4 linked regions of the Tamandua tetradactyla genome follow. Each later gene encodes a partner of the first gene's protein in a complex. Links are inferred from orthologs where the notes say so. Each region holds a gene or a part of one and is shown in the gene's direction. Other genes may lie near its edges.

Evidence for each region.
Region 2: CDK2AP2 (region 1) and MTA2 share a complex: the UniProt entries of both Homo sapiens proteins name them as parts of the nucleosome remodeling and deacetylase (NuRD) repressor complex. The link is inferred for Tamandua tetradactyla from reciprocal best matches to the Homo sapiens genes CDK2AP2 and MTA2.
Region 3: CDK2AP2 (region 1) and MTA3 share a complex: the UniProt entries of both Homo sapiens proteins name them as parts of the nucleosome remodeling and deacetylase (NuRD) repressor complex. The link is inferred for Tamandua tetradactyla from reciprocal best matches to the Homo sapiens genes CDK2AP2 and MTA3.
Region 4: CDK2AP2 (region 1) and MTA1 share a complex: the UniProt entries of both Homo sapiens proteins name them as parts of the nucleosome remodeling and deacetylase (NuRD) repressor complex. The link is inferred for Tamandua tetradactyla from reciprocal best matches to the Homo sapiens genes CDK2AP2 and MTA1.

The regions. Positions count from the first base shown.
Region 1 is NC_135335.1:6,904,359-6,912,068, forward strand, and holds CDK2AP2 (cyclin-dependent kinase 2-associated protein 2), read left to right. Parts: upstream 1-4,967; 5' UTR 4,968-5,570; coding exon 5,571-5,652; intron 5,653-5,659; exon of another isoform or gene 5,660-5,795; intron 5,796-5,977; coding exon 5,978-6,078; intron 6,079-6,165; coding exon 6,166-6,298; intron 6,299-6,670; coding exon 6,671-6,738; 3' UTR 6,739-7,193; downstream 7,194-7,710. UniProt on the Homo sapiens protein: Acts as a component of the histone deacetylase NuRD complex which participates in the remodeling of chromatin.
Region 2 is NC_135335.1:11,958,177-11,966,115, forward strand, and holds the start of MTA2 (metastasis-associated protein MTA2), read left to right. Parts: upstream 1-4,930; 5' UTR 4,931-5,223; coding exon 5,224-5,251; intron 5,252-6,011; coding exon 6,012-6,079; exon of another isoform or gene 6,080-6,458; coding exon 6,459-6,552; intron 6,553-7,939. Other genes in the region: EML3 (echinoderm microtubule-associated protein-like 3), read left to right, coding at 1-99, 246-387, 827-978, 1,064-1,189, 1,280-1,411, 1,832-1,899, 2,423-2,511, 2,616-2,713 and 4 more. UniProt on the Homo sapiens protein: May function as a transcriptional coregulator. Acts as a component of the histone deacetylase NuRD complex which participates in the remodeling of chromatin.
Region 3 is NC_135343.1:14,118,469-14,125,637, forward strand, and holds the start of MTA3 (metastasis-associated protein MTA3), read left to right. Parts: upstream 1-4,153; 5' UTR 4,154-4,199; coding exon 4,200-4,227; intron 4,228-4,760; exon of another isoform or gene 4,761-4,884; intron 4,885-4,914; exon of another isoform or gene 4,915-4,933; intron 4,934-5,868; coding exon 5,869-5,936; intron 5,937-7,169. UniProt on the Homo sapiens protein: Acts as a component of the histone deacetylase NuRD complex which participates in the remodeling of chromatin.
Region 4 is NC_135340.1:87,212,790-87,220,020, reverse strand, and holds the start of MTA1 (metastasis-associated protein MTA1), read left to right. Parts: upstream 1-4,214; 5' UTR 4,215-4,312; coding exon 4,313-4,340; intron 4,341-7,231. UniProt on the Homo sapiens protein: Transcriptional coregulator which can act as both a transcriptional corepressor and coactivator. Acts as a component of the histone deacetylase NuRD complex which participates in the remodeling of chromatin.

The DNA.
Region 1 (7,710 bases):
CAGCTCTGGCCACAGGGGCAATCTCGCAGTTGGCTCCTATCGCCCCTTGTCATGCCCCCCCCCCATTGGGTGTGCATTTTGCTTTTGTTTGAGCACTTTTTTACTTTCTGCCATTATAAGATACTCCAAGCCTATCTTGTCTATTTCCTGCCCCAGTCTAAGAATCAGCCATATCTCCAGAGAACGCTGGTCCTTCTACTGGAGAATGGTCTTAGAAACCAAGATCTGGGTGCTGTAGGTGCTTGTTGCTACTGGGGTGTGGTTTCCTACATGTGTATGGTACATGTAATACAATTCCATTCTTTTGTCACATTCTGCATTCCATTCTGGGATCCCCCATCTCCTAACAGATTTTTAAATTTCACATAGATTAAATTTCACTCTATGCTGTAAGGTTCAATGGGTTTTGAGAAATGTTTACTGTCTTGTATTCACCATTGCAATATCTATCATACAGAATAGTTTTACTGCCCTAAAGAGGCTCCTCTGCTTCACCCATTCAACCCTTCCCCCACCCAAAACCCCCAGCAACCACTAATCTGTTTACCATCTCTATGATTTTGTCTTTTACAGAATGTCATATAATTGGAACCATGCACTATGTCCTTTTTTTCAGATTGGTTCCTTCAATACCAATATGCACTTACGATTCATTCTTGTCTTTGTGTGGCTTGATTAGCTCATTTCTTTTTATTGTTTGGTAGTATTTTTTTCCTTTATTAGGGAAATTATGCATTTATAGAACAATAGTGTATAAAATACAGGATTCCTATGGACGGTGTGACAGTGGCTCAGTGTCAGAATTTTCATCTGCCATCCCAGAAATCTAGGTTTGATTCCTGGTGCCTGCCTATGCAAAAAAAAATATATATATAGGATTCCTATACACCACCCTGTTAACATCTTGTATTGGTGTGGAGCAGTTGTTATAACTGATGCTAGAACATTTTTATAATTGTAGTATTCACTGTAGTCCATGCTTTCACATACGGTTCACTGTTCGGGTAGTGTCAGTCCATGGATTCTTTTTTTTTAATTTTCATTGTCACATATATGAAGTTTAACATCTCCCCTTTCAAATCACATATTTCAGTGCTGTTAATCACATTCACAGGGTGTGTTACCATTACCACCAAACTGAGTAGTATTTCACTGAATGGATGCAACACAGTTTATTTATTCACCTATTGGAGGAAATCTTGGTTCTTCCAGTTTTTGGTGATCATGAATAAAGCCGGTATAAACTTTTGCATGCAGATTATCACGGGGACATAAGCTTTCAAATCATACAATTGCTGGATCATATGATAAGATTATGCTTAGTTTTGTAAGAAGCTGCCAAGTTGTCTTCCAGAGTAGCTGCACCACTTTGCGTTCCCACCAGCAACAAATGAGAGTTCCTGTGGCTCTGCAAACTCACCAAGAGTTGGTATTATGTTTTATGGATTTTAACCATTCTTAAGGTATCATGGTATCTCACTGCTTCATCAACTTATTTTTCCTCATTTTATTACAAGATTTTTCAAACATAATAAAACCAAAAAAACTGTACAGAAATACAATGTTGAGTTTTATAGTCACAAGGTAAGGCAACAAACTCATCTGCTGGCTGGACTGAGCCTGGGGGCTTGTTTTCAGTGTCTGGTTTGGAGGCTATAATGCTGCAAGGCTCCAAATTGCAGAGGGTGAGCTAGGAGCCTGGGGTCTGAGTGGAGAGGGGACTCCCTGAAAAGTTCCTCCAAGACCACGCCACAGAGGTCTGTGCTATCTTCCCCCCAGGGTAGGAGTGTCCCTACCAAAATTGTCATCTCTGACCTCCTCAGGGAACTCTGTGCTCCTTCTGCTATGGCCCAAGGAAGAAGGATTTGGAAAACTGCTTGAGGGCAAGGTTCAGCCCTGCAGTCACCTCCTGGCATGTCCCTCCTGCCAGACACCGGCAGTGGAGAAAACGGGAAAGCCTAGGCTTTGGGAGAAGAGGCAGAGCTACTGGCCCCTCAGTGGCCCCCTCCCCCTATCCCTGCAGAACTCCTTCAGAGCACAGCCTCTGTGCCACTGGCAGGCTGGGGAGGCTCTTGGGTGATACATGATCAACACTTTTTATTTCTATAGTCAGATACTTAGTTTGAATATGAATTACAGAAGAACTTGGCTAGTCTTTGTAATTAGTCCCTGGGAGATACCCACTAACTCTTTGGGATTTCCCCTAATAGGACTGTCATTTGCTATTCCTGCTGGGCCCCAGCCTACACCTCCGAGCATACATTAACAAGATGACTCAAGGTGGGGCCAGGCGCACCTGCGGCTTTATTACGGGGGTCACCGAGGTGATTAGAGGATTGGGCTTTGAGCCAGACCTCTGCAGGTTAGAGGGCGGCAGCTGGAGACCAAATTCACCCACCTGAACCTTGATTCCATCAATCATGCCTTAAAGTGTCAAAGTACACAGAGGCAATTAGAAAACCTTATTAAACCTTATTTGGGTAACAAAGGATTAGCGAATCAGGCAGCACCAAACCAAAAGTGTAAGGAGGGAGTGGAAAGGGGAAGCTTATATAGGGCACAGGTGGAAGCAAGTGAGACGTTCTGATTGGCTGACATTGTTAGCATTTTATATGGGGGGGTCTTACAAAAGTGGGGAGCAGATAGTCATGGATTAGTATGGTATGCCTGTACATTCTGATAAATTCTCTCTACTGGACAGAAACTGGTTTATCACCAGGTGTTGCTTACCTGCAATCCTGCAAGATACCTTTCCTCATTCCATTTTCTCGGAAAGCCCCTGCAGGTCAATTGTTTTATCTCTGAAAATCCTTTCTTGGAAAGGGTCCCCTCCTGGCAACACCCAATGCAGGCGGCCATTTAATTTTACTTAACCTAAGTAATGAAACTCTGAAAAAAACTCTGGCCAGTGAAGCTCAAGTGAGCTTCCCTGCCTGACAAGACTCTGTTGTGCAAGGCGAGTGATGTGTCCTGACTCCACAGGGAGAGGACGTGAGCGCTTTGGCATCTGGCGACCTCCCAGACTTTATCCTATGTGTCTCTTATTTGTATCTTTTCCACTATAATAAAATTGTAATTGTAGCATTTTCCTGAGTTCTGTCAGTCCTTCCAACAAAAGGTAGAACCTGTTGTCAGAACCCCTGAATTTGTAGCCAGTTGGCCCAAGTGCAGGGGTCCCTGGAACCCCTGAACATGTGGCTGGTGTCTGAATTGCCACCTTGGGGAAGATTGTGCTCTTGGGCTGTGAAGTCTCATCTGACTTCGGATAGTTAAGTCAGAACTGCATTGTAATTAGAAAACTATGAAGTACACTGAGCTCATAACTAAACTGATATGATTCCTTTTCCTTTTAAATTTTTTTAAAAAGTGAATTGATACAAAGGAAATATTAAGTAGATGATGAGACTTGAAAATGTTTCACAAAGACTAGAACAGATGTTCAACACAATGAATAATAGACGGTTATATGGGGAAAATGCACCTGCTGCAAACTTCGGACTATAGTTAACTGTAATATTTTAATACTCTTTCATCAACATTGACAAATGTACTACACCAACACTATGGGTCAATAATATGGGATGATACAGAGTATGGGAGGATTAGGGTTTTCTTTTTATTTTCTGTAGTAAAGAAAATGTTCTAAATTTGCTTATGCGGATGAATGCAGTGTTAACCAGTGACTGTACACTTAGGATGGTATCTATGTTGTGTGACTATATTTCAATAAACCGGCATTTAAAAAATATTTCACAAAGGACTGAAGTTAGAAAAACATTGGGTACAGATTAAATTCCAACTTCCTTACATGTTTGCCACCTGAGATTCCTCTATCATTACAGCCCTGCCCTTGCTTCCCAATTATCCCCACAGCAAAAAGAAATGACTTGTCCAATCACTTGTGCTTCCAAACTCTCAATCCTTTCCATGTGCCAGGCCCTCTACCTGGAGCACCCCCCTCCTTCTCTGCTCCCACCACCCACCTTGGGGTCTTAGCTCAAATGCCACATCCTCTGGGAAAGCTTCTGTGAGGTCACCAGGTAGGCCCCTTCCCCTTGGCTCCAATGCTCCAAGGTCTGGGCTTCACCGTGGCCACTCCCTTAGTGTTGTCTGTGCCTCTGCTTTCCTATCTGCTCCTCTTAAGACTAGGAGCTCCTTGAGGACAGAGTCTGCAGCTGGTTCGTCTCTGTATCCTCAGAGTCCAGTGCAAGGTCCGGATAGGGAAGGGATTCAGGAAATGTTTGTTGGATGAGTGCATGAACACATGTCCCGGAGATGAGGGAAAACCTACAGACCTAGGGGCGTGACATGTACACCAGGCCAGACAGGTTTTGGGTGGAAGGAGACTGGGAAAAACAGGAAGGGGGGTGGGAGGGTCTGAGACTTGGGGTTTGTGATAGATGAGATTTGAGTGGGGTCGCGTAAGGTAATGAAAATGTTTTGAGGCGCTTAAATGGGATAGGGATAAAGGAACAAGAAGAATAAAATCGTAAAAGCAATACAAATATTCATTGAACCCACACAATAACTCCGAGAGGTAGTTTTCATGACTCCCCCACCCCCGTCCCATTTCACCGACAGGCACAGGAGATGAGCGACTTGGTCAAAGGGAAACTGCTAGTAGGGAAGGTGCTGAGATTCGAACCAGGCAGTGACTGCACTCGGTCCTGTCAGTCACTCCTCTGGTTCAGAGCCTGGCACGCAGAAAGTGATTAAGGAGGGGTTACCTGTGACTGCTGCTGTCATTATCTGCGGCAGAGGCGTGGGGGCTGGGGGGCGGGTCGCGGGGTCTACGGGTCGTCCTTACACCGACCACCTACGGACGAGCCAATCCCAGGAAGAGCCGCGGGTCGCGGCGTTGGTGCTGGACTCGTTGCCATGGAAACAAAGGGCGGCAGCAAGCGAGCGCATGCGCAGATTGGGGAACGGGTGTTCAACCGGCGAAAGGTGACGTAAAAGCGCATGGGGTGGGGCGGAGGAGCCGGGACGTCAAAGCCCTGCGTCCTTCGGCATCCGGAGAGGAGAGGCGCGCTCGGCGGCGGCGATAGCGGCCCCAGGTGGACCGAGTCTCGGCCGGAGACCCGGAGGCGTGAGGTTGACGTGCGAAGCGGCGCGGGAGAGGCGGGCGGACAGCGCCCGCGCCCGGGAGGAGCCACTCGACGCGAACCGCGGCGGCCCAGACCCGGGTCCCGGTTCCCGAGGCCCCGCCCCTGGGGCCGTGGGACTAATCGGATTGAGAGCGCGCTGGCCCGGGCCGCGAACTCGCCAGTTGCGGAGGGCGCCGCTCACTACCCAATCCGAGGCAGACAGGTGCGAGGTCCGGAAGGCGGCGGCCAATCGGCAGCGGTTGCGACCTGTGGGGGCCGGTCTCGGCCAATAAGGAGGCTCGAGTGACATCTTGGCGCGCCAATCGGGAGTGAGGGAGCGGTCGCGCCCGCCCGCCCTTCCGGCCCGAGCTCTATTTACCCGGGGCGTGCAGCCCACTTGCCAATCAGAGCGCGGCCGAGCGGCCGGGCAGCCAACCCCGGAGGAGCCGCCGGCCGGCGTCCGCCAGCACCCAGGAGTTTGGGATGTCCTACAAGCCCATCGCCCCCGCCCCCAGCAGCACCCCCGGTTCCAGCACCCCCGGGCCCGGCACCCCGGTCCCTACAGGTGAGGACCCAGCACCACCCCTGCTCGCCTCCCCGGCCGGTCGAGGTCTCGAAGACAAGACGGCCTGCGTTCTGCCATGCTGGCGCCGCCGCCTACCTTCCCGCGAGCCTCAGTTTCCCGGCCTGTGAAGTAGGCGTGGTCACGTAAGGGCTTGTAGGTGGAGCGCAGGGGGAGGGGTTTGTCCCTGAAGTTGAGCGGCCTGGAATGAAGTTGTCCCCTTGGAGGGATTCGGGCGAGCCCGGTCGGGAGCTTGAAACGCTGGGAGGAGGCGTCCCCGCCCCGCGCTGACCGCTGACCTCTGACCTCTTACTCGCGCGTGTTGCAGCCGGCAGTGTTCCGTCGCCGTCGGGCTCGGTCCCGGGAGCCGCAGCCCCCTTCAGACCACTGTTTAACGACTTTGGACCGCCCTCCATGGGCTACGTGCAGGTGAGTGCGGCCGAGGGTGGGCCTGGGGGTGGGGGGCTGGAAGCCCACCCTGGTTGGATCTCACTGCCTTGTTCCCTTTTGGCTCAGGCGATGAAGCCCCCCGGTGCCCAGGGCTCCCAGAGCACCTACACGGATCTGCTGTCGGTCATAGAGGAGATGGGCAAAGAGATCCGACCCACCTATGCTGGCAGCAAGAGCGCCATGGAGCGCCTGAAGAGAGGTAAGCGAGGCGGGGCCCACCCTGCCCTGCCCAGGAGAGGACACGGGGCAAGCCTCCTTCCTTAGGACAGGAAGGGCTACCGAGGCCACCCAATCCAAGCTCAGCACCCATCTCATTACCCAGAGAGGCATTCTGAAATGAATGGAATTGAACTGAAATCAAGTCCATTTCGAGGGAGGGACCTGAGAACTCCTATTTTACCAGGGTGAATTTGAGGATTGGCCAAACCTCTAATCTCATCCAGCTTGTCGTTATAGACTTCAATCCCTCTTACTGAAGGGCAGAGGGTGGGGAGCCAGTCTTCCTCTGGAGGGTGGGGGTGCAATTGGAGCGTCTCCGGGGCCTGGTGTTACTTCCCCGCCCCCACCCCAGGCATCATCCATGCCCGGGCCCTAGTCAGAGAGTGCCTGGCTGAGACAGAGCGGAACGCCCGCACGTAACAAGAAGCACCTCGTCTCGGCGTCTGGACCTTTCCTGGCCACCGCAGAGCACCTGCTTCTTCCTGGCCTTCACCCTGAGTTGCACTTCCCATCCTGGGCTTCCTGTCCCGTGTCCCGTGGTGGGAGCCCTCTGGGAGGCAGGAGGCAGCTCCCACTCCAGTCAGCAGCACTAGCTGGGGCCCCTGGACTAGTTAGCAGTGAGGTCACTTGTGAGGCCCACCCATGACCTGCTAACCAGGTTGATCCAGCGGGAGCTTTCCCCTTCCTGGGGCCCCCCCACTTCCCCAGCACTGAGAACCACGTTGTCCCTGCCCCCCTTCTCCCCACAGCAGGCCTTAAGAAGGCCTGTCGACTCCCTACCTTGACTCCTGGGCTATAGCGACTTTTCTCAATGTGTCTTTTGCTAAATAAGCCCTTTTTGTATAAATAAAAAGTGATTTGGAGTTGTTCTCTCAGCTCTGAGCCTTTCTGGGTCCAGTTCTTCTAAGCCTAGGGGAGCCTGACAGCAGGGAAAGAGGAGACCTGGGGTTGAGAGGAAGTGCAGGGGTGGGGGGGTGGGTTGAGGCTGAGGCTGGCTAAACTTGGCCTTGCCTCTGCTGCCCATTGCTCCCTGGGTGGGGCCTGGTCCCAGGCCTCAGACCCTCAGCCTTGTCTGTCTACTCTTAGGGGACAGATTTGAGTTCCAGGAACGGAGAGCCCTGCCTATGCCTTCGCACTGTGCCGCCAGGGGGCAGCACAGGGCCTTGGCTGCCTCCACAGCTGGAGGGCACTGCCTGCCAGCCTGGGCCTGGAGCGTCCTGCCCCTGGAGTGTCCTGCCCCTGGGTGGAAATGCCAGTTCACCAAAGCCTCTCCTCCACAGGCCTTAGTGCCAAAATGTCCTCAACTACCCTGAATCCATCTTTGACTCTTCAGCGTGGGAGGTGGGAGTGGAAAGTATTCCTGCTTCCTTTCCCCAGCGCCGCCTTCCTGGG
Region 2 (7,939 bases), about 5.1 Mb from region 1:
GTCACCAGCGGGAAATCTCACGTCCACTTCTGGAACTGGAGTGGTGGAACAGGGGTTTCTGGAAACGGGACCCTCACCCGGAAACAGGGTGTCTTTGGGGTGAGGTGTGGGTGGTGAAAGGTGGAGGGGGAGGACAGAGTGGAGATGGGCATGTCGGTCTGCGTCCTCTAATCCCCACCTGTCCCGTGACTTTTAGCTTTTGCCCTTCCCTTTGACCTCTGCTCTCTGCTCCCCCTCCCCCTCAGAAATACAAGAAACCCAAGTTTATCCCTTGCTTTGTGTTCCTTCCTGATGGTGACATTCTCACTGGGGACTCAGAGGGCAACATTCTCACATGGGGGCGGAGCCTCTCAGATTCCAAGCCCCCGGGCAGGGGCGGGGCCAAAGGTATGTGGTTGGGAGAGCAGCTGGGAAGGCCAGTAGCCCAGGGGGTCAGTGGGAACAGAGAAGAGAAGATTTCCCATCCTTTTCCCTTGAGAGTTGATAGTTGTGCATGGGATCTGGTGGGGGGCTCTCTGGAGGGACTGGTCTAGAAGGGTGGTGGGGAGAAGCATTGAGGCTTCAGCATCTGCCAGCTCTTGGGTTCAAATCCCAGTTGAGCCTTGGCCTTTAGGAAGTTCCCTCACTTGTCAGAGCCTCGGTTGCCCTGTCTGTAAAATGGGGAGAGTAATAGCCACGTTGGCTGTTCAGAGAATCAGAGGCGTTATTTAGTTGGCACAGGATAGCGGGGAGTTATTACCTTCTGTTGTGATGGCCTAGCGCCCCCCTCCCGCTCCCCATTTCCCTGCACCCCAAGAGCATGACCCATCCTGGGCTTTGCCAACAGAGACCTACGGGATTGTGGCCCAGGCCCATGCGCACGAGGGCTCCATCTTCGCTCTGTGTCTCCTGCGAGACGGGACGGTGCTGAGTGGTGGCGGGCGGGACCGCCGGCTGGTGCAGTGGGGGCCGGGGTTGGTGGCTCTCCAGGAGGCCGAGGTGAGGGCTGGCCCGGGGTCGAGCCAGGGAGCGGGGAGAGGGGTGGCCAGCCCAGGCGCCTGACTTTCTGCTGCCACCTCTGCAGATTCCTGAAGATTTTGGGGCCGTGCGGGCCATTGCTGAGGGGCCTGGCTCGGAGCTGCTGGTGGGAACAACGAAGAATGCATTGCTGAGGGGTGATCTGGCCCAGGGCTTCTCTCCTGTCATTCAGGTTGGGGGGTGGGGAGGGGAGGGCCCAGAGGAGGGAGGAGGGAAGACCTGTTGGAGCGGGGCAGAGGAGACAGTCCATGCCGCCCTGCAGGGCCACACCGATGAGCTCTGGGGGCTCTGCACGCATCCTTCCCAGAACCGCTTCCTCACCTGCGGCCATGACCGGCAGCTCTGCCTGTGGGATGGGGAGGCCCATGCACTGGCCTGGAGCATCGATCTCAAGGTAGAGCACCGGTCCCCTGGGTCCCGTGTCACACACCGCAGCTCTTGCGTCCAGCGTGGCTTCCCCCACGACCCCCTTTCCTTCTGCTCCTTGGAGGTGGCCAGTTGGTACTGGTATGGTTGGGATGCCTGTTCAAATATGAATTCCTCTGTATTGGTTGATAAAAGCCTTTGCCTCCAGTGCCCTCTAGGCATTGCCCTTTCTGATTGTGCTTCCCTTTGTCCGGCAACTAAAGGGTTAATCTCTGGCCCAGTTGGAAACCTAAGTTCTGATCATTAAATATTTTGAATATCAGCCCTGCCTCCACCCCAGGCTACCATCTCCTCCCCTGTCTTCTTGGGAGAAGGAGGAGGTTATCAAAAAGATAACCTGCCTAGAAGGGCAGCTTCTTGAATGAATTTTCCTTCTCCCCTCTCCCAGGAGACTGGTCTCTGTGCTGACTTCCACCCCAGTGGGGCAGTCGTGGCCGTAGGACTGAACACGGGGAGGTGAGAGGGAGCCAGGATTCCCGGGAGGGGAGAGAAGGGATGTATGGTAAGGGTTTCGGGTGGTGGGGGTAGTGGAGAGTGGCCTGGCAACTTCGCCCTTCCATGCTGCAGTCCTTCCCGCAGCCTGTGCTTCCCTGGCTCTCCTGTGCTAACTGCCCTCACCCCCTCTCCTCCAAACCTGGGACTGGAGGAGGTTGCAGCTCAGAAGAGCGAAACAGCGGGAATGGAAAGGGGAAGTGATCAGTTCCAGACCCACAAAGCCCTGTAGTCAGGTTCCTGGTGTGTAGTTCCTGACTTCTTTCTGAGACAGTATTATTGGAAGCCTCTCAGATTTTATCTGCCCTTAGCCCCTTCTCACCTCCCAGCCTAAGAATGCAGAGGCGACCTTTGTGCCTACAGAATGGGCTTTGAGGGGGCTTCTCAGAGGATCTCCAAATGGCCAATCCCTGCCGTACCCAGGGCAGCCTTCCTGGGGGTCTCCTGACCATCCCCTTCCCTCCCCCTGCCTTTTCCTCCCTTCCAGGTGGCTGGTTTTGGACACGGAGACCAGAGAGATTGTGTCTGACATCACTGATGGCAATGAGCAGCTCTCAGTGGTTCGGTACAGCCCAGGTGAGAGCCGCACCCCCCCCCCCCCCCCCCCCCCCCCCCCCCCCCCCCGCCCCAGACCCATACCGATATCTGGCCCCTTCCTCGCTGAACGACTGTCTTTGCAGACGGGATGTACTTGGCCATCGGTTCCCATGACAACATGATCTACATCTACAGCGTTTCCAGTGATGGTGCCAAGTCCAGCCGCTTTGGCCGTTGTGTGGTGAGGAAGCTGGGTTGGAGGTGGGGCACCACCACAGCAGGTGAACTCGCGAGCGTCTAATGCTTAAAGGGGTTCTGGGGATGGGGACGTGGTGGCTACATTTTTAACTTCTTGCCTTTTACTCCCAGGGCCACTCGAGCTTCATCACTCACCTTGACTGGTCCAAGGATGGGAACTTCATCATGTCTAATTCTGGAGACTATGAGATTCTTTACTGTGAGTAGCAGCAGGGGAGGATATGGGGAGAGGGTAATTGGGGTGGGTGTTATTTGTGGGGGACCCTTTCTGGCTAGGGAGGACGAAAGAGAATATGTGGGGAGTTGCAGATGAGTTTGTTAAAAAGGGAGGTGGAGATAGATGTTAGTTATACAAACAGGAGAAATTCATGTGATTTGGGACATCCCCCCTCCCCCTTATCTCCCTCCGCCCCTCCACCTCCCAGTTTAATACCAGGTCTTCCTTCACAAGGACTTGAAGGAAAATGCACACAGAAAAGATTCTTTTGGAAAGATTTATTAGGGCAGGTGTGGAGGGACTGAAGCTGTTAGAACTTCAGCAGAAACTCAGGAAGCACGCAGAGGCGGGTTTGTCTTTCCAACCTGCCCTTCCCCGGGCATCTTCCTGACTTGGCTTCTGCGCTGAGAGCAGGGAGAGAGCTGGGATGGTGGGTTCCCTCTCTCCAGGGGACGTGGCTGGAGGCTGCAAGCTGCTGCGGAACCGCTATGAGAGCCGAGATCGCGAGTGGGCCACCTACACCTGCGTGCTTGGCTTCCACGTTTACGGTGAGCAGGCGCGCGGGTTAGGGGTGGAACGGGAACAAGGGTGGGGGGACCAAGCCTAGCCCGCCTTGAGCTTGGAATGTTGTGTCCCGGGTGGGTGGATTTCAAGACACCGGCAGAGCCGACCCAGGAGGCCTCTCTGGCCCTGGAGACCCGGCAGGATCGCCTGGAACGCGGTCGGTGGGTGGCCACGGCGGCCGGAAACGGTAGAGCTCGGCGCTCTGCGCCTGGCGTGGGCGGCGGAGGGGAGGGGGCCGGGCTGAGGCCGGACGCTGTGCTAGGCGTGTGGCCCGACGGCTCGGACGGGACCGACATCAACTCCCTGTGCCGCTCCCACAACGAGCGCGTGGTGGCCGTGGCCGACGACTTCTGCAAAGTGCACCTCTTCCAGTACCCCTGCGCGCGCGCCAAGGTGAGGCCGCCAGGGGCCGCGGAGGCCGGGGGTGGGGGGGAGGCGGCGGGACCCGGGGGGGCGTCGCCGCCGCCGCAACTCCGCCCCCCTCCCGCGCAGTCGCCGAGTCGCGTGTACGGGGGCCACGGCAGCCACGTGACCAGCGTCCGGTTCACGCACGACGACTCGCACCTCGTCTCGCTGGGCGGCAAGGACGCCAGCATCTTCCAGTGGCGCGTGCAGGGCGCGGGGGGCGCGGGGCCGGCGCCTGCCACGCCCTCCCGAACCCCTTCCCTGTCCCCGGCCTCCTCCCTCGACGTCTGATAGCCGCCGGACTGGACCGACCGGCCCTTCGGTCTACCCGCCTCACCCGAAACCCCCAGGACCGGGGGCCGACCCTTCCCTTGACTTCGAGACATTCCCGATCGCGCATTTCCCTGGAGGGGGCGAACGACCCCTCCCGCACACACTGTAGAGACCCGCCGGCTGAGCCAGGCTGCCCCAGCCTGCTACTGTCTGCTGAGGGGCAATAAACCAAAAGCAAAGTCGCCTCCCGGTCCTTTTGTGGGGCGCGACTTGGGCGCCTCCGGGGCCCTGTGAAGGCGGGGATGGAGGCGAAGAAGAGAGCGGAAAGGGTAAGGGAGCGTAGACCATTTATGCAAATAAGAGGCAAAGCCTTTGGCAAATAACCCCAGGGAGCGCGGAGCTGAGCGAGGCTGTCGGGGCCGGAGGGGGCGCTGCCGGGCCCGGCGCGGAGAGAGTTAAAAGCCCAACTCCTCAAGGAGGGGCCGAGTTACAACGGAAATAACCGAGCGCCGGACCGCGATTGGCCGAAAGGAGCCGAACCTTTTCCGGAAGTAGCCGATCTGTGGGGTCTCACTCTCCGACCTGAGCCGAGCGCTGGGCCTTGTTCTCCGGCTCGGCCGAAGGTGTTCCGGAAGGAGGCGAATCACGAAGCGGGCAGGGCTAGCCTTCCCCACGGCCGGCAGAGCCTAACGTCTAGTGGGGGTCAGCGAGGGCGGGGGGGGGCGGGGGGTGAGCGCGACCCAGGCTCCGGTACGGCAAGAGCCGAACCCGTTCCGGAAGAAGCCGAGCGGAGTGGTCCGGCGCCGGCCTCGGCGTCCCGGGCGTGAGGCGGTAGCGGCGGCGACGGCGACATCGCCAGCGCGGGCCGGGATGAACCGCGACGGCTGAGGCGGCGGAGGCGCCGGCTGCGCGAACCCGACCGAGACTCCAGCGAAGCGCCAGACCCGCGCTCGGGGCTTTGCCTCGAGCCGAGCCCTGTCCCCGCGAGCCTCCCGGACCCCTTTGTGCGGCCGGAGGCGGCGGCGGGAACGGCCATGGCGGCCAACATGTACCGGGTGGGGGGTGAGTACCCGGCGCGGAGGGTGCGGGGCTCGGGATCCAAGGGGCTCGGCACCTGGCGGCGCGGGGAGCCGCGTCTGGGGCAGCATGGACCGGAGCGCGGACCGGAACCGGAACCGGGAGCATCTGGGGCGAGGGTGCGGGACGGCGGCGCGGGCAGGCGCGGAGACTCGCGGAGAGGCTGCGGGCAGCCCCGACGGCGCCTCGGGGCGGGGGCGAGGGGCAGGGCGGAAATCTCACCCAGCCCGGGGACTCGGGCTTGGGAAATTGGCTCCCAAGGAGCTGACAGGGCGGTCAGGAGGCGCGAAAGGCCTGGCTGACGGCTTTCCCTTCCACGGGGGAAACCCAGGAAAGGAGGGAGGTCTCCCCCCCACCCTCGGCGTTATTGTGCGCTTCGGTTCGGAGGCTGCGCTAGAGTGAACAATTGTTCACTTCCCCTAGACTGGTGTGCAACTTCGTCGCTGAGTGGTGGGGACTGTTGGGGAAGGTGGGGACTGTTGGGGAACCCTTGCTTGTCTTTCCCCTAAGGCTTACTTTTGAGCGAAAGATCTGACTTTGAACTAGGTGCAACGGAGGTGGGGGGTGGGGGTGGGTGGCTGTCCCTAGTTCCTCTTAGACTCTCCACTTCCACCTCTGAGTTCTCAACACCTGAACCCCCTGTCTCCTTTTGGTCCGCTCAGGCCGACTTTTTCTTTCTCCCATCCTGCCGCTTGGCTCTCTGATCTCCTCTGATCTTCCCTACTCTACCCGTCTACCTCTACAGATTACGTCTATTTTGAGAACTCCTCCAGCAATCCTTACCTTGTTAGACGGATTGAGGAGCTCAACAAGGTGAGTGGAGCAGAGTCATCCCCCTTTCCTTCGTACAGGTAATAGTCTCTTACTTCGGAGGTCTCTAACTTCAGGTGGATAGAGAGGTCTCTATCCTAAGTACTCATTCACATTCATCCATCCATTCATTCATTTAGTGCGCAAGACTTCTACAGTGCCTAGTGGAAACTTTACTGTTCTATCTTTTGAAGGCTAAGGAAAGGGATTTGGAAGTCTGTCCTTGAATGAAAGTGTCTTTATTCGTAATCTCTTGGGCCTTTCTCCTTAAGATCACTTAGAAACGTGATCACTTAGAAACGTAGTAACTGTTGTTAGTCTCATCTTTGTGCGTTTCCACTTTCCAATGAACAGTCTTCATTGCCGTTTTTCCCCCCTTTAGACTGCAAATGGAAATGTGGAGGCAAAGGTTGTCTGTCTTTTCCGGCGAAGGGACATTTCTAGTAGCCTCAACAGCCTGGCTGATAGTAATGCCAGTAAGTGTCTTTGCCCTCACCTCCCACCTGTCTCCCTCTCCCCACGCGCTGAGGCCTGGGCATGTCCCTGCTGGTGTTTCCCCTGGTATCATGCCCAAGGCAGGATTGTGAGTTTGGGGGTGGCAAAAGCCTGCTCTGTGGACGGAGGCCTGTTTTTACACGTTGGGAGGAAGCAGGGTGAAGAGCCCATGATAAGAGAAGTCAGAATATGGTGCACATGTGTGCGCGTGCCTCTGTGAGAAAGAGAGGCCATAGTATTTAAATAATAGGGGATGAGGAAGAGCTTTGGAGAACCAGGACTCTTGGCAGGGACAGTTTTGGGTACTTGGGACAATGGCTGTGACTGAAGAGGAAGAGATTTTATTTACAAGCCTGCAGAACAGAAAAGTGGGCTTATTTGTTGAGAATACATTGGAGGGAGAGAATAGGAAGCTAGGAGGAAGGAAGATAACAGGGAAAGGTTTTTTGCACTTTTCTTCTTTCTCTCTCCTTCCTTTCCTCCCCTCCCCCATTTTATACTTTCCCTTTTTCCCATTTCCCTTACCTTCCTTCTCTAAACTTTCATCCTTTAAAAAAATAGACCTTCAGTTTTCCTTAGCTTCTTTTTTCCCCTCTCCTTGTTTTTTTTGCCCTTTCCTCCTTCCTTCCTCCTAAATTAATTTTTTTTTTTTTTAGGCTGCTTTGGGCATAAAGGGGTTAAGGAGGAGCTGGGCTCACCAAGTTCCCTGGTCCCTTTGGGGTTTCCAGCCCCATCTGGCAAGGGCTGACCTTGGCCTTGTCCAATCAGAAGGGGCGTGGGGGGTGTGGTTCCCCTTGCCTGAGCGCTGGGTTTCCGGAGCACACAGGCGCTGGGCGGAGCCTGCTGCACTCCCCCTTCTCCTTGAGGTTGGGAACAATGCACCAATGAGCCGGGGCCTGAGGATCTCCTGCCCCTCCCCTTTTGGTTGGCACTCAGTCAGGTTAACCCTTCCACTAAGGTTTCAGGGGAAACTGCAGCTCCGTGGAGAGGAGGCTGTTTGCACTGGTTTAAAAGGTGCTATCCTTGAAAGCACCACAAACTATTATTAGCCAAGTAGAAAGTGAGGGATAGTTGTGGTTCCTTGTGATGATTTGGAGCAGAGTCCTGAAATCTGTAAAGAGGAAGTGATAAGCACAACCTTGTGTGGTATGTTTTTTATCCTATTGGGTTCCTGGACCTCAGGCTGGTTTAGCAAGAAACAGACAAGTGTGATGTTCTTGCTGGGCCTGGTGTGGGCAGAATTTGTGCTTTATAAGCAGTATGTAAGCATTGGCAGTAGGGTATGGGGTAAATTTCTGTGCCTTTCTTTGTATTCCCAGCAGCTTTTCTTTAAGAGCATTAGTGATGAAGGGTTTTAAGCATCTGCAA
Region 3 (7,169 bases), on another chromosome or scaffold:
AATTCTACCTGGATCTTTCCAAAGGCACTTCAAACACATCAGGCCAACACTGAATCCTTTAACTACACTCCTGGCAACATGCTCCTCCTCTTGTATTCTTTACTCACTGAATTACACCCTCTCCACCCAAGTTGCCCATAAGCCATGGCACCACCTTTCACTCCACACCTCCCGAAAGCGATCAGAGCTTAGCCCCCTCCTAAATCTTGCTCAAACACATCTACTTCTTTCACCTTTCACTGTCTCCTCCATAGACCAGGCCAACCTACCTTCTGACCAACTCCCAACTGACCTCTCAGCCTGCCCTCACTCTCCTCTCCAGTCCACTCTGTGCTGCAGCCTGAGTCACCCCAACACTCATTCTTTGTTATAGCCTATCAACACTTCCCATAGTCCCTTAGAATTCTTTTTCCTGATCCCACACCCTCTAGTGCTTAGCCATCTCTCATTCAAATCCACAGTACTCCATAGACTAAAAAAGGAAAACACTAGGTCAATTAGATGAACCACCTCAGAGCTTGTCCTTGTGCCCTGTTGTGGCTTCTAGTCCCTTTTCCACTACCTGGAGGTGTTGCTGTTGCTAGAGAGGGAAACTCCACATGGGTGCAATCAAATGGCTAAGCTAATTTCCTTTTGATGGCATGAGGGAACCCTGGAATCAGAAACCACACACTCCCCCAAACTAGGACTGGCTGGGATTTGTCCTGGGTTTCATGTTTTTAGCATGGGGGATTGATGGAAGGAGATAATCCACAACAGGAGAAGCTGTGAAACTCCTGACTCTGTTTTCCTTTTCTTCAAGGTCCCCTTGCTTTGATTCTTGCTATTGCATGCATACCTTTTTCCTGGGATATATTCTTTTGCCTTCAAAACCCAGATCCTCAGAATAGCAGCTACAGGCAGGCCTTTTCCAAGGGAATTCTAGTAGGCAACAAAATAAGTTAATAAAAAAAAAGGTGGGGAGTAGTGGTGGAGAACAAATCATAGAAAACACAAACAAGGTTTAGACTCTTATCCAAAACCTGGCCTCTGCTTTCAGATTAATTATATTCTAGACCCCCAGGCTCCTTTCCTGGGTTCAATTTCACAAAGTTCCCAGGCTGGCTATTTGTTGCCATTTTTTTTTTTCATGTATAAAACTCCTTTCCTAAATTGCAACAAAGCCAACTCTCCATTCCATTTATAACTTTCCTGCAGCCACCACTTCTCTTCATCTGAATGGTGGGACCTGAAGATTGACACATGGAACATCCTGGTAACTTCAGGCATTCTCTTACACATGTCTCCTTAATCACAACAGTCATACAAAGGAAATTGTACCTATGATGTGTGTGTGTGTGTGTGGGGGCAGTGTAAGGGGGAGGTTGTCCTGGGGAATTTCTGGCATAGTCTGAGAGACACCTCTATTTTGGTGATGAGACTGGGTAGAAGAGAGAGAAAGAAACTAACAAGTATGAAGGTCTTGACATATGCCAATCACTTCATGCATTTAATTTTTACCACAACTCTTTGTGGTAGGTTTCAACCACTAGTCATATTTTGTAGAGCTTGAGGCTCAGAGGGGTTAAGTAATTTGCTCAAGGTCTTACAGCAAAACAGCCAAGCCAGGAGGGAAGTTGGGGCTGTCATTAATGACAAGTTTGCAATCTAAACTATGGGGTCTAAGAAGGGAGAGAGGCCTTTGCTTTCTTGGAAGTGCAGGCTTTTCTATCTTTCTTTGCCCAGTTAGAGGGTTTCTTTCAATCTACAAACATTTCATGAACTCTCTTATGTGTATACCTCTCTGTTTGGCACTAGAAGTATAAAAAAAATCTGTGCACAAAGTCTTTGCATTCAACTCTGCACCTGATTCTCTAAACTGAGTCCCATCATTCATTGACTAAAGAGCACATATTATACAGAAGACACTGGGCCAGGAGCTGGAGGTGGAAGAAGCTAAGTTGATGAAATGCAGAGGAAAGAAGGGCTCCAGGCCCTGCCACCTTACCCCCTACACTCTGCTCCCTACACCCCATCCCAGGCCTCTGAGGCTTTCTTGGGGTCTTTGTGAATAAGGCTGTTCCTAAGGAGAGGAGGTGGGTGTGGGTGTGCATTAGGGAGTATTTTTGGCACCTATCACACATTTATTGTGGTTAATATAGTCATCACAAACACCTGGTAAGGAGCACAAAGCTGAGGAAATGAAACAGGCAGACAAGGAAGTAACAAAAATACAGAAACATTTTGAAGAGGGAGAAATTGCTCATTTATTAAAAAAAAAAAAAAGGAAAAACCTTTAAGCCAGTTTGGGCTTGTGATCCATTCCTCTCCATCTCCCTCAGTTTATGGTTTTCAGGTGGCCTTTTGACTTAGAGAAACGCTTCTGGGTTCAGAGAATTCTAGTCCAGAGGAAAGGACTGAGTTATAATCCCAGTATTGTTGCCATTTTACTATGTGACTGTAGGCAAATTATTCAGCCTATTTATGTGTCAGTTCATTAATGGAGTGAGTGATGTTTGATATGTCATCATATGTTTTTGGTGGGGTTTCCAGTAAAATGATTATGATAAACAGCAGATATGCAATATGAATCACGGAGCACATATGCATTTGTCTCTGGGTCAGAAGAGCTGACACAGACTCAGAATTGACACATAGCATAAAATCCTTGGGAATCTGAAACTTTCAGGTGTTAAAAGCAACTGACACCTGTTACTTGCATAGTTCTCTATGCAGTACAGTTTACAAAGTATTTTCACATATCATCAGAGCCAATCCTCAAACTCTGTGAAGTGAAATTAGTGTCTGTCTTTGTAGATGAGGAAATTTAGGTCATCAGTCAATCCATGAATTACAATCCATGTAATTCAGGCTTTTTTTTTTTCTTTTTTTAATTTTAACTTTGCCTGAGCTCTCCAGAAAATTATTTTGTTCACCTCAATAATTTGTGATGAGGAACCATCACAAATGCCAGACAACCAAAACACAAACTTCTTTTCTTTTCTAGGGACACCTCCCATCTAAGCACAGACCTCAGAGCCAGAGTCAGCAATACACAGCTGTACATCTCACCAGAAACTCCAAAGAACCCACAACAGTAAGGAATCATCATGTTTATTATACAACCATGTCTGGGACTTATTAGGAATGGATGGGCTTCTCTCAAGAAAGTTGTGTCCGTTTGGAGAATAGCCAGCTAAGATTCAACTCGATCTGGTTTTTTTTGTTTCTGCAAGGGTACGAAGGCTGTGAAAACAGGGGTTGTCTAGACAATCTGCATGGGGAAATGTAACCATTTGAAAGCTGTAGACACATAACCAGTTACTCTCCATCAACACAATAAGGTGACACTGAATTACAGGGCTGCTTGCCTAGGGACCAAGGAAGTCCCCTTTCCCTAAGGGTCTTCTCCCAGAAGGGCACACTGTATATAGGGCTTCCCTGAAGGCAGGTCTCCAGGTGTGGGAGAATGGGTTGGGTTCAGCCTAGTTCGGGGGTGAATACTAATAGACCTGTAATGCAATTAGGGTGGCCTCCTAAGGAAGTCAGTTTCTTTAGCCTCATCCCCACCTTAATCGCTGACTTGTTCTATTGGAAGCACCTGGGATGCTCCCGGACCTACAGGTCCTCCACACCACCTCGTGGAAGACGCCCTCCTCCGTGCAATTATTTGCATCCAAGTGTTTGCACTGAGACAGAAGCTCAAGCATGAAGGTCACACTTTTTTTCAGATACACAGGCTGGGGCTCCCCAGGGCCAGAAGCAGGAAAGGGGGACCTGTCTCGGGGCCGGCAGGTGGTGGGCGCCCTGGGTGGGACGGCCGGCGCTTCGGAGAGACGGAGCCCCTGCCCCCATCCCAGTTCTCTAACAGCTCGGGTTCCACATTTCCGAGTCCGCGCCTTCGCGGCGGCCCGGGCCCTTATCCTAGGACCCCCACTTCCACCAAGCCCCACCCCCCGGCCCCCTTCCCTGCTGGCCCCGCCGCTCTCCGGCTTCCTCGGGCTTCCCCCGGCCCGGCCCACGCGGCGTCGCTCGCCCGGCGCTGGGGGCGGGCACCTGCCCCCACCCCTCGGCGTCCCCTCCCCTTCATTTCCCCCTCCCCTCGCTCCCTCCCTCCCCTCCCCCCCGCGGCGAGGCAGCGGCGGCGAGCGAGGCTGAGGCAGAGGCAGCGGCGGCGGCGGGCGGGGCTCGGCTCGGGCTCCGCGGGCGGGCGGGCGGACATGGCGGCCAACATGTACCGGGTCGGAGGTAGGAAGGCTCGGCCCGACCCGGCCGGTCTGGGAACGGGCTCCGGGGGGGGGGGGGGTCGGGGCGAATTCACCCTAATCGCCGGGAGTCTTGGGTGCCCGGGCTGAGGGCGTGGGGGGCGGGGGGGGCGCCGGGGCCCGCAGAGGGGGCCGGGGCTCCCCACCCCCACCCACCTCTTCTCCCCCCCTCCCGTGGCCTGCACCGGCCCTGCCCCTCCAGTATCTCACTCTCCTCCCAGATTTTTAGGGCCAGGCCTCTGTTTGGCTATGAATGATCAGAAACACCCCCCCAACCCCCATGAAACCCTCAAGGGGGTAGGGGCCATGAAGCCTCTTAACAGGGTGGCTTCTTCCTCGCGTGGCTTCTAGGCTGTGGGGGTGGAGGATGGAGGACCCCCCCCCACTCTTCCCCTTCAGTGGGAATGGGGGGGGTCGGCTATGGGGACCCAGCTAGAGGCACAGCTGACAGGCCTGGCCGTAGGGGCAGGGCCCTGCACCTTCCCTGCTTCACTCCCCCTTTCATTTCTTGTCTAGCCCCCCAAGAATGGGGCTTGGTGGGGCCAGGGAACCGCAGCCAGAGGTGGGGAATTGAGTTCTGCCTGGACGTTTGCTCTGCTGTCTGCCTCCTTCTCAGCCTTCTGCAGAAGAGAGAAATAAGGTCAAACAAACTTTCTCCCTACTCACGACGCCCTCCTCCCTCTTTCCTGGTAAAATAATAATTCAGATAAGTGGCGTGTTTGTGTGTGAGACTTGCTCTTCTCTGCATTAGCCGCTCTTCCTGACGGAGGGTGGTGGGAATGGCCTGGCTAAATGAGGCCACTTTGCAGAAGCTAGGTGGGATAAAGCCACCAAGAAAACACAACGACAATGCAGCCCGGCCTCTTAACCCACTGTGAGAAGTTTCCAAGGAGCTTATTAAATGAGGAAAAGCCACTCTTGGAGATTTTTATCCTTTCTGTTGAAAGCTTGCAGTGATTTTTAAATTTTATTTAAATAACGAAACCCTGAGTGGATCTGTATTAAATAGGGTAGGGTAGAAAGGATTCTGATGTTACACCCAGAGCTCTCTGCCTCTCTGAAAGTGACTCCCTCCCCCACTTCTTTTCCACCTTCCCAGGTTCAGCTGTGGAAAAGTTTGTCAGTGTGCTTCCTCTTACCTGCTCTGCTCACCTGATTGATGTTTTTAAAAGTTGGTGATTGAAATGTAGGCTGGGCTGCTAAACCTTTCACGACTGAATTTGTCTTAGGTCATCAGTTTTATGTGAGACGCATATTCCAGGGCAGATGGCATTGGAGGGAAAAGATGTGGAAGCAGTTAAAGGACTCAGACTCTTATTCAGTGAGCCCTGACAGCGATGAGTGTGAGAGGTGTCTTTTTGTTATTTAAAAAAATGACATGTGCAGGGCAAAAGTCTAGGAAAACTTGATAAAAACTGTAATTGAGATGAAAATTCCAGGAAAATGAGGGCCTGTGATTAGTGGGCACATGAAGGAATGTATTAGGGTTTCTTTACTAAGTTTGCTTTTATCAGTGGAAGAATTAGGTGCCTCATGTTGAATGTGAATTGTCTGCTAAGGGAAGTCATAGATTGACAAATGTGAACTTTCTATTGGAAAGATTAAACTCTTCCTTTAATTACAGATTATGTCTACTTTGAGAATTCCTCCAGCAACCCATACCTAATCAGAAGGATAGAAGAACTCAATAAGGTATATATTGAGCGTTCTTTATATTAATATTAAAAAATACTTTTTTCCATTGAAGGAAAATTGGCTAAAGGGCACAAGGCTGATTTTACTTTCATTCCCACACCTTTTGAAAGTTGAGGTTTCAGATTAGAGGATTCAGATACAGGATTACGAGTACTGTTTTGCTTTTTTGTAAGTACCCATTTTGGTTAATATTAAATATTGTTTTTGGACATATATAAAATGTATACAAGTTTCTTTAAATTGCTCAGAGCCTCTCAAAGATTAGGTCACTCTGTAACTCAGGAAGTTCCTTTTTATTTTTACAGAAACAAGTTGTCTTTCTCTCCCTTTTTTTGTGAATTAATTTTTTCCCCTTCTAGCTTAGACAGAGGAAGCTGGAAAACAATATTGTAATGAAGGGAATTTGTAAAATTCTGGACTAGGCTAACTAATATTCTAAATAGAGTTTTGGTGTAATGTAAAGTAAAATAAAACTTTTACACTGAGATCAGCTCTTATCACAGGTGTTCACACTCTGATCTCAACATCAGAAGCATCGTGACTGTGGTAAATGAGCTTTTATAATGGAGAAACCCAAAAGCAGTCATAACCTACACGGACCATAGATTTCTAGTCATCTGGTTTCCTCCAGACCGCTTTTAAGAGTTATTTGTGTGGCTTATGAGAATTCATAGTGTAAAATCTCTGGGGCTGTCTATCTATTATGGTCCCTCAAAAAATAACAACTGAGAGTTGGTCCCAGGAAGTCAGGCCTTAAGTCATTCTTGGCTTAAAAAGGCTTGAAACATTGTCTTACTTCTGGGAGTACCTCCAGGGACTTTGCATTTAAAAAATTCAGACCAACTCTAAGTGAGCAGAATGGCCCCAGATTTAGATCAGTTTGTTGAGGGGAACTGTCAGAGTGTAATTTTGATCTATTTGTCTTATGTTATTGATGTGAAGTCATGATGTTTACCATATTAGTTTAATTAGAAATTTAAGATTCCAACAGAAATGTTGGCCTTTGAGACCGTGTATTTTCTGGCTGTGCCCTGTCCCTCTCTCACCTCCCACTGTTGCTGCTCTCTTCTTGTTCATTCTGTTCCAGACACATTGGGCTCTTGGCTTTACCCCACATGTACCCATTTCAGGACCATCCCCTGTACTTTGTTCTTGTTTTGATATCATTTATATCACCTGCAGATATACTTATTTATTGTGCTTGTTTTCTTTGTCTGTCTACACTTAGTA
Region 4 (7,231 bases), on another chromosome or scaffold:
CGGACAAAATAGACTTTAAATGTAAAGACATCATAAGAGACAAAGAAGGACCCTAAATATTAATAAAAGGGACAATTCACCAAGAAGAAATAACAATCATAAATGTTTATGCTCCCAATCAAGGAGCTCCAAAGTATATAAGACAGACATTGGCAAAACTGAAGGGAGTGACAGATGTTTCAACAATAATAGTAGAAGACTTCAATATACCACTCTCCTGTTTAGAGAGAACAACCAGACAGAAGATCAACAAGGAAATATAGAAGTTAAACAACTTGATAAATGAATTAGACCTAACACACATATATAGGTCATTACACACCAAAACACCAGGATATACATTCTTCTCTAGTGCTCCTGGAACATTCTCCAGGAATCATACGCTGGGGCACAAACCAGGTCTTTATAAATGTAAAAACACTGAAATTATTCAAAGCTTTTTCTCTAATCACAATGGAATGAAGTTGGATATCAATAACCACCAAAGAATAAGAACATCCAGAAATTTATGGAGATTAAATAACACACTTAAACAACCAGTTGGTCAGAAGAAATTGCTAGAGAAAACAGTATCTATCTGGAGACGAAAGAAAACGAGAATATAAGCATTTATTGCCCTAAATGCCCATATTAAAAAACAAGAAAGTGCAAAAATCGAGGACTTAACTGCTCACCTGGAGGTACCTGAGAAAGAACAGCAAACTAACTCCAAAGCAAATAGAAGAAGAGAAATAACAAAGATTAAGGCAGAGATAAAGAATCAATAAAACCACAAGTTGGTTCTTTGAGAAAATCAGTAAAATTGATGCCCCACTAGCAAGAATGACAAAGAAAAAAAGAGAGAGGATGCATATAAACAAAATCAGAAATGAGAAGGGGTGAATTACCAGAGACCCTGAAAAAATAAAAGAAATCATAAGAGGACACTATGAACAACTATACGCCAACAAACTAGATAACTTAGATGAAATGGACACATTCCTGGAAACACACAAACAAGCTACACTGACTCAGGGAGAAATAGAAGATCTCAACAAACCAATCACAAGTAGAGATTCAATCATCAAAAATCTTCCTACAAAGAAAAGCCCAGGGCCAGATGGCTTCACAGGGGAATTTTACCAAACATTCCTAAAATAACAAACACCAATCCTGCTCAAACTTTTCCAAAAACTTGAGGAAAAAGGAGCACTACGTAACTCATTTTATGAAGCGAATACCATTTTAATACCAAAACCGGGTAAAGATGCTATCAGAAGGGAAAACTACAGGCCATTCTTCTTAATGAACATAGGTGCAAAAATTCTCAACAAAGTACTAGCAAATCGAATCCATTAGGGGTCAGCTCAGGTCACTCAGAGCCCACCCGAGGCAAAACTGCTGTCCCTCGGCCCCATTGCCTAGTTCCCTGGCCCCCTGGCCTCAGCATGAACACTGCCCTTCTCTCCTTCCCTCGTCCTCTTGCCCCAGTTCTTCCTTCAAAGCACATAGCATCACAGGCATGCCAATACATGTTATCCATTATCCCGTCCCCTCCCCGCACCAGGGTGCAGGCCCCCAGCCCTCCCTTACTCTGCCCAGCATCTCCAGGGGTATGTGGACTGAAGTAGGTGCTTAGCAGGTAATAGTTGAATGAAGAAATCACGGCTTTCCTCTTCCTGTAAAACCCTTCCTCGGTTAATACTTTGCCATCCTACCCCTTGCCCCATAATGCACTCGAGCACTGCTGTTATTTTGGCCCCCAGTTTGGTTGTTTGGCTCTTGCATCTCGTGCTCCTTCTGCTGTTTTGCCATCGGGTCTTTGAGTCCCCGCTACTGAATTTGTGTTCTTATGAACTCTGAGAACCTGGAGTGCTCCCCTGGAGTTTTCTTCTGTTTCTGCAGTTGTATTTTCTTCTCTAGTGGGTTCTTCATGGCCGCTCACTTCCTTCCTTCAGTTTCTTCCTTTCTTTCTGTTGCTGTTTGGATTATGGGACTGGAGGCTGCTGTTTCTTTACGTCTTATTCCTGTTCCAGCATAAGCAGCCCAGTCCTGAATGTCTACTTCCTCTGCTGTGAAGTGGATGACTTCTCCTTCTTTACTTCTTATCTGAGATCTCTTTTACTTGCCTCTGAGCTAGTTTAAGCACAGGGTATTGTATCTGTGTTAGATGGAATCTGTATCCTGACAGAAGACACTTTCTTAATCGTAAAACTTGCCTGTCTAGGTGTGAATACATTTGTAAGTTGGACCCTTTGAAGATATTTTTAGTTAAGATGTGGCCAGATTGCATCATGGTTACTCTTAATCTACACGTGTAGTGACTTTCTAAAGAGAGGAAATTCCGAAGCAGGCAGAGGCCAGAAGGCAGCAGAAATGAGAGGACGTTGCCGTGGGATGGAGGCAGAGGCAAGACCCAAGGAGCCCAGAGGCTGTGGCGCGCTAGCCCCAGAATACCAGGCTCTGGGGAGGCCCAGCCTGCAAACCCGGATTTGGACCTTCAAACCCACAGACGATGAGTCTTTGCTCAGGCCACCACTGGGTGCTGTTTGTCAGAGCAGCTGTGGCTAACTGAGACCATATCCAACCCCCCTCTGCGTTTGTGTGGAGCGGGAAAGGCTGTGTGGAGAAGAGTTGCTGGGCTTGCTGTGCTCTGAGGACTTGCTGGCTGCCCCTCCTCTGGGAGGGCTGTGCCCTTTACTTCTCGGGGTAAACCTGGAGTCTCGCTTGCTGCGAGCTGTCTGCTCTCTAGTTCTTTTCTCCACAAAATGCTCTGTGCTACTGTTTCTGGGAGAGGTCCCCACGTTGACAGCCGGGCTGTGTCGGCTCTCTGCTTTCTGCCAGTCCTGACAAGGGTTGGGGTCGTGGCCTGTGGGGAGGGGGTCAGGGGTCCTGCAGTCTTCCCCTGGGTAGGAGGCTGGGTCTATCTGTGCGCCCCCCCCTTTTCCAGCATAGGGCCGACCTTTGACATGCGAGGCAAGTTCCAGCTCCCTGCTGCTGCCCTTTAAGCCAAGCTTCTGGGAGAATGGGAGCCTCAAGCCCCACTTCCTCTCCTCCTCACCCTGTTTCATCCACCGTGGCCCCCACTGAGCCCCAAACAGCCAAGGCTGCGGTGAAGCCCCTGCTCAGTGCAGGCATTTCCCCTCAGCACATGTGCAGGGCCCACTCTCCCTTGGGGACCCTTCCAGTCTCCCCAGAGCCCTCATCCCACCCTGTCACTCAAACCAGCCACTGGGGAGCCATTCCGGACACCTTCTCCCCACAACACATCCTTCTCCCCTCCCCCATTCTCTGTCCTGGCTCTCACCGTAACTCAGCCCTGCTCTCATCTGTCCCTCTCAGCCATCCATGCCCCCTACAGACAGACAGACAGACAGACACACACACACACACACACACACACACACACACATCCCCTTGCTGAAGGAATCTGGGCCACTGGACTCAACTCTGGTTAAACCAAAGAAGCACGGGCAGAGTTACAGACTCTGACCAGGGCTGGGAAGGCAAAGGAGGGCGCTGGCTCCAGACCTTAGACAGAGGGGCCTGTGGTTCCCAGCCTTCCCTGCTCCCTCAGCCCCGCACGCCACCCCCCATCCCCCCCGCAGCACCCCCATCCCTGCATCAGGGAGGCCCGCGGACCCCAGGGAGGCAGGTGCCCTGAAACACGGAGCCCTCGGTGCTTGCTGAGTGGCGGTGCGCCCACTCTCTCTCCCTTTCCCCCTAAGAGGCAAGGCCCCAGAGGAGGGGCGACAGATGAGGAGCACCCCCTGCCTCAGAGAGGTGCGGGCCTTAAGTAGGGCTGGGGGCTGTCCGGAGAGAAAGCAGGGAAGCCGGGGGTGGGGGGAGCCGGCCTGGGAGGCAGGAGCGGCGCCGTCGCCGGGACCCGGGGGCGGGCGGCGGGGGAGGGGCGCGCGCGGGGTCCCGCCGGGGCACGCGGGCGGGCGCGGGGAGGTGGGGGCCCGGCCGGGGGCCGCTCGGGCGTGCGGGGAGGAGGGCCGCGGCGCGAGGCGGGGGCGCGGGGCTGGGCCGCGCGGGGCGGCGGCGGGCGCGGGGTCGGGTAACGGCCCGCGCGGTGGGCGGCGGCGCCCGAGGCCCCTCCCCGCCCGCCGCTCCTCCTCTTCCTCTCCCGCCCGCGCCGCGGCCCTCCCGTCCCTGCGCGGCCTCGGCGGCCTCGGCGGCGGCGGCGGCGGCGGCGGCGGAGCAGCGCGGCCCCTTTAAACCGCCCGCCGGCGGCCCCCGCCCGCCCCCGCACCGCGCCTCCATTTTCCAGGCCCGCGCCGCGCCCGAGCGCGCCCTCCCGGCCGGCCCCGCCGCCGCCGCCGGCCCGGACATGGCCGCCAACATGTACAGGGTCGGAGGTAAGGCCCGCCGCCCGCCGGCCTTTATCCGCCAGCGCCGCGGGCAGGCCGCGCGCCGGGCCCGCGCCCACCCCCACTCAGCCCCTGCACCCCCCAGCCTCGCGACCCTCGGTTCCGCGCACCCCAAGACCCGGGACCTCTGCCCGACTCCTGCACCCCTGGCCCGTCTCCCCATCTCTTCTCCGCCCTGGTCGTCTCCAGCCCTTCCCCCACCGGGCCCTCCTCATCCTTCGCCCCATCCGAACTGCCCTCCACCCCCCATCGGCCCACTTCTGTCCCCTTCCCTCCCCCCTGCACCCCTCCCCCACTGCAGGCCGTCTCTGCCGGCCCATCCTGCGCCTCCCCCCCCCCCAGCAACCCCCACCTCTCTTCTACACCCCTCTCTTTGCCCCCTTCCCCCTCGCTCTTCCTTTATGAGCAGCTTGGCTCCCTCTACCCGGCTGTGTCCACCACAGCCCGAGATGGCCTGGTGGGTGGCAGCGACCGAGCTGGGCACCAGGGAGGCGGGGGCTCTGCCCACCTGTTGGGGGCTGTGTGGGTGGCCTGTTGGCAGAGCCCTGGAGAGGCAGGGGGGGCCTGGGCCTGGGGGGGAGCTGGTGCTCCCGAGCAAAGAGCACGTGGTGTGCAGTGGCCCTGGAGAGGAAGAGGGGTTTCGGGGTAGGGGTCCCCATCTGGGCCCTGTGGAGCGGACTTCCCTCTAGCAGTGGAGACCCCATGCCTCTGAGTGTCCTGCACAGCCTAGACCCAGGGCGCCTGGGGGTGTGTGCAGGGGGCCACCCAGGCGGGGTCCCAGGCAGCGTGTTGCCTCCAGGTCACTCTCCTAGGCCCCTAACTTTCCCGTGCCTCCCGCTGACCCCAGCGCATCAGGGCTGCTTGGCCAGGAGGCCTCCTGGCCATCCCTCCTTTCTCCTGGCCCGAGAAGCCTCAGGCCTGGGTCCTTGCCCTAGTTTGGGATGGGGGTGGGGGACTCTGGAGGCGCCATGCTGGTCTTCTATGGTTCTGGGGGCCCTTTGACTCCTGCCTCCACCTCCGCCATGCATCCCTTCCTGCAGCAGTCTCTGGGACCTGCGTGTGCCTCCCCTCTTGGATCCCCTCCTTTGGGGCCCCCAGCATACTGGCCTTGGGTTGGGGAGCATCATTGTGGGAAGCAGGCACCCCTGCTCCTTGCCCCCCAAATCCCCCCACTCCTGTGTGCCTCTGGCATGGGGTGCCACTAGTCTGGCACTATCCGTGGCCCCCCACCCTGCTCTGGGGTGTTGGGGTGGTCCAAGGCTATGAGGAATCCCTGGGCTGCCCTGACCTCTATAGCTCCTGCAAGGAGGGGGCCCAGCTACAGGGTCCCCAGGCACCAGCAGAGGAGAAGCCCTCTCCATCCGCACGGCTCTGATGGGCCCCTAGGGCCTGATGACCACTCGTGTACCTCCAGCCATGGCCTCTGGCCTGGCAGATCCCCATGTACACGTGCCTGCCCCCCCAGCAGCCCCTGCCTGTCTCCTGCCCCGGTCCTGCTGCGGGTCACCCTGGCTCTCAGGGTTCCTTGTGTGCAGCTCCTACTTGCTCCCCACTACCCTTCTCTTGTGGGGCCTACCCCGTACCTGGGGCCTGCAGTCTATGCTTGCTGAAGGAGCCCCCGGCTCTGGGGAGGGGCTGGGGAGGGGGCAGCGAGGTGGGGGCGGCACGGGATTGTCCTGTCTGCCAGCTCCAGGCTGCTCGGGGTCCTGGTCACTAGCACTGTGGAGCCTCTTCCCCAGACCTCCCACAGCCCTACCTGCTCAGGTCCCAACTGTTCCATGGCCCCTCACTCAGCTAGTGCTCCCTGATGGGCCCTTCCTGGGCTGTCCTGGGGCTGCCTGGCACCCCCAAGGTACAGAAAGCCCCCTGGAGCCAGCTGCCAGTCTGGGGAGGCACCCAGTGGTGCTCTCCTGGCCTGGGTTATTGGACAGAGTCCAGTCAGGGACAGACACGGCTCCGGGACGGCAGGTGGCCACCTGGCTTGTGTCCCCTGTAGTGTGCAGGCTGGTCCCTGGGGCTTTCAGGTCAGCCTGCCCACGGCAATACCTTCCTGGGCTTCGGTTTCCCCACCATGCGGACGGGGATGTCCATTGTGTTCCTGAGTCGGTGGTGAGAGTGTCCTCCTCACTGCTGGCCTTTGCCCTCCCTCGTGCAGGGATCCTGGCTTGGACCCACTGAGAGATGGATGGGCCCAGCTGTGCCTCAGCTCAGAGCGAAGCTGCTTCTTGGGGCTCCAGTTCACCGCTCTGTTTCCCAGTCCCTCCTTGGTCCTCTTTCTGGGGCCTAAGCTCAACGGGCCTGGACAGCGCCTTGGGTACCAGGAGCTGGCTTGGGTCTCCCATGGCCAGTGGCTGAGCACTCAGTCCTGGCCGAGGAGGTTGGGCCTGCAGCCGTTGAAGGGTGCTTGGGAGGACTTGGGCTTCCTCTCTGCCCCCTCACATGGGCCGTGGCCTGATGATCTCAGGTCCTCACTGCCTTCCTGGGGGCTTCTTGAGCCATGCCCATTCTAGGTGGTGGATGATGCCCACCTTTCCACTCTAGAGCCCAGCGTCCCCCTCCCGGGGTCCCTGCAGGCTCTGGAGGCCCTGGGGGCTGGGGGCAGTGCATCGCTGTACCACAGGAGGGGGCACCCTGGCTGCTCGGGCCCATAGCCCAGGGATGTCAGGTGCTTCGAGGTGCTTGCTTGGGGCTTCTGGCTGCTGCCGAGGCTGGAGGGGCAGCCAGCGCAGGGCTCAGCTTGGGAAGGGGCTCACTCTCAGGAAAGAGCTTGATTTCCCACTTCAGAGACCTGCTGCGGACTGTTGCCAGATTTAGCAGATAATGTACAGCGCCCAGGTAACTGCATTGCTGATCAGCAGCAGTAATTTTTTCTTTTTAGT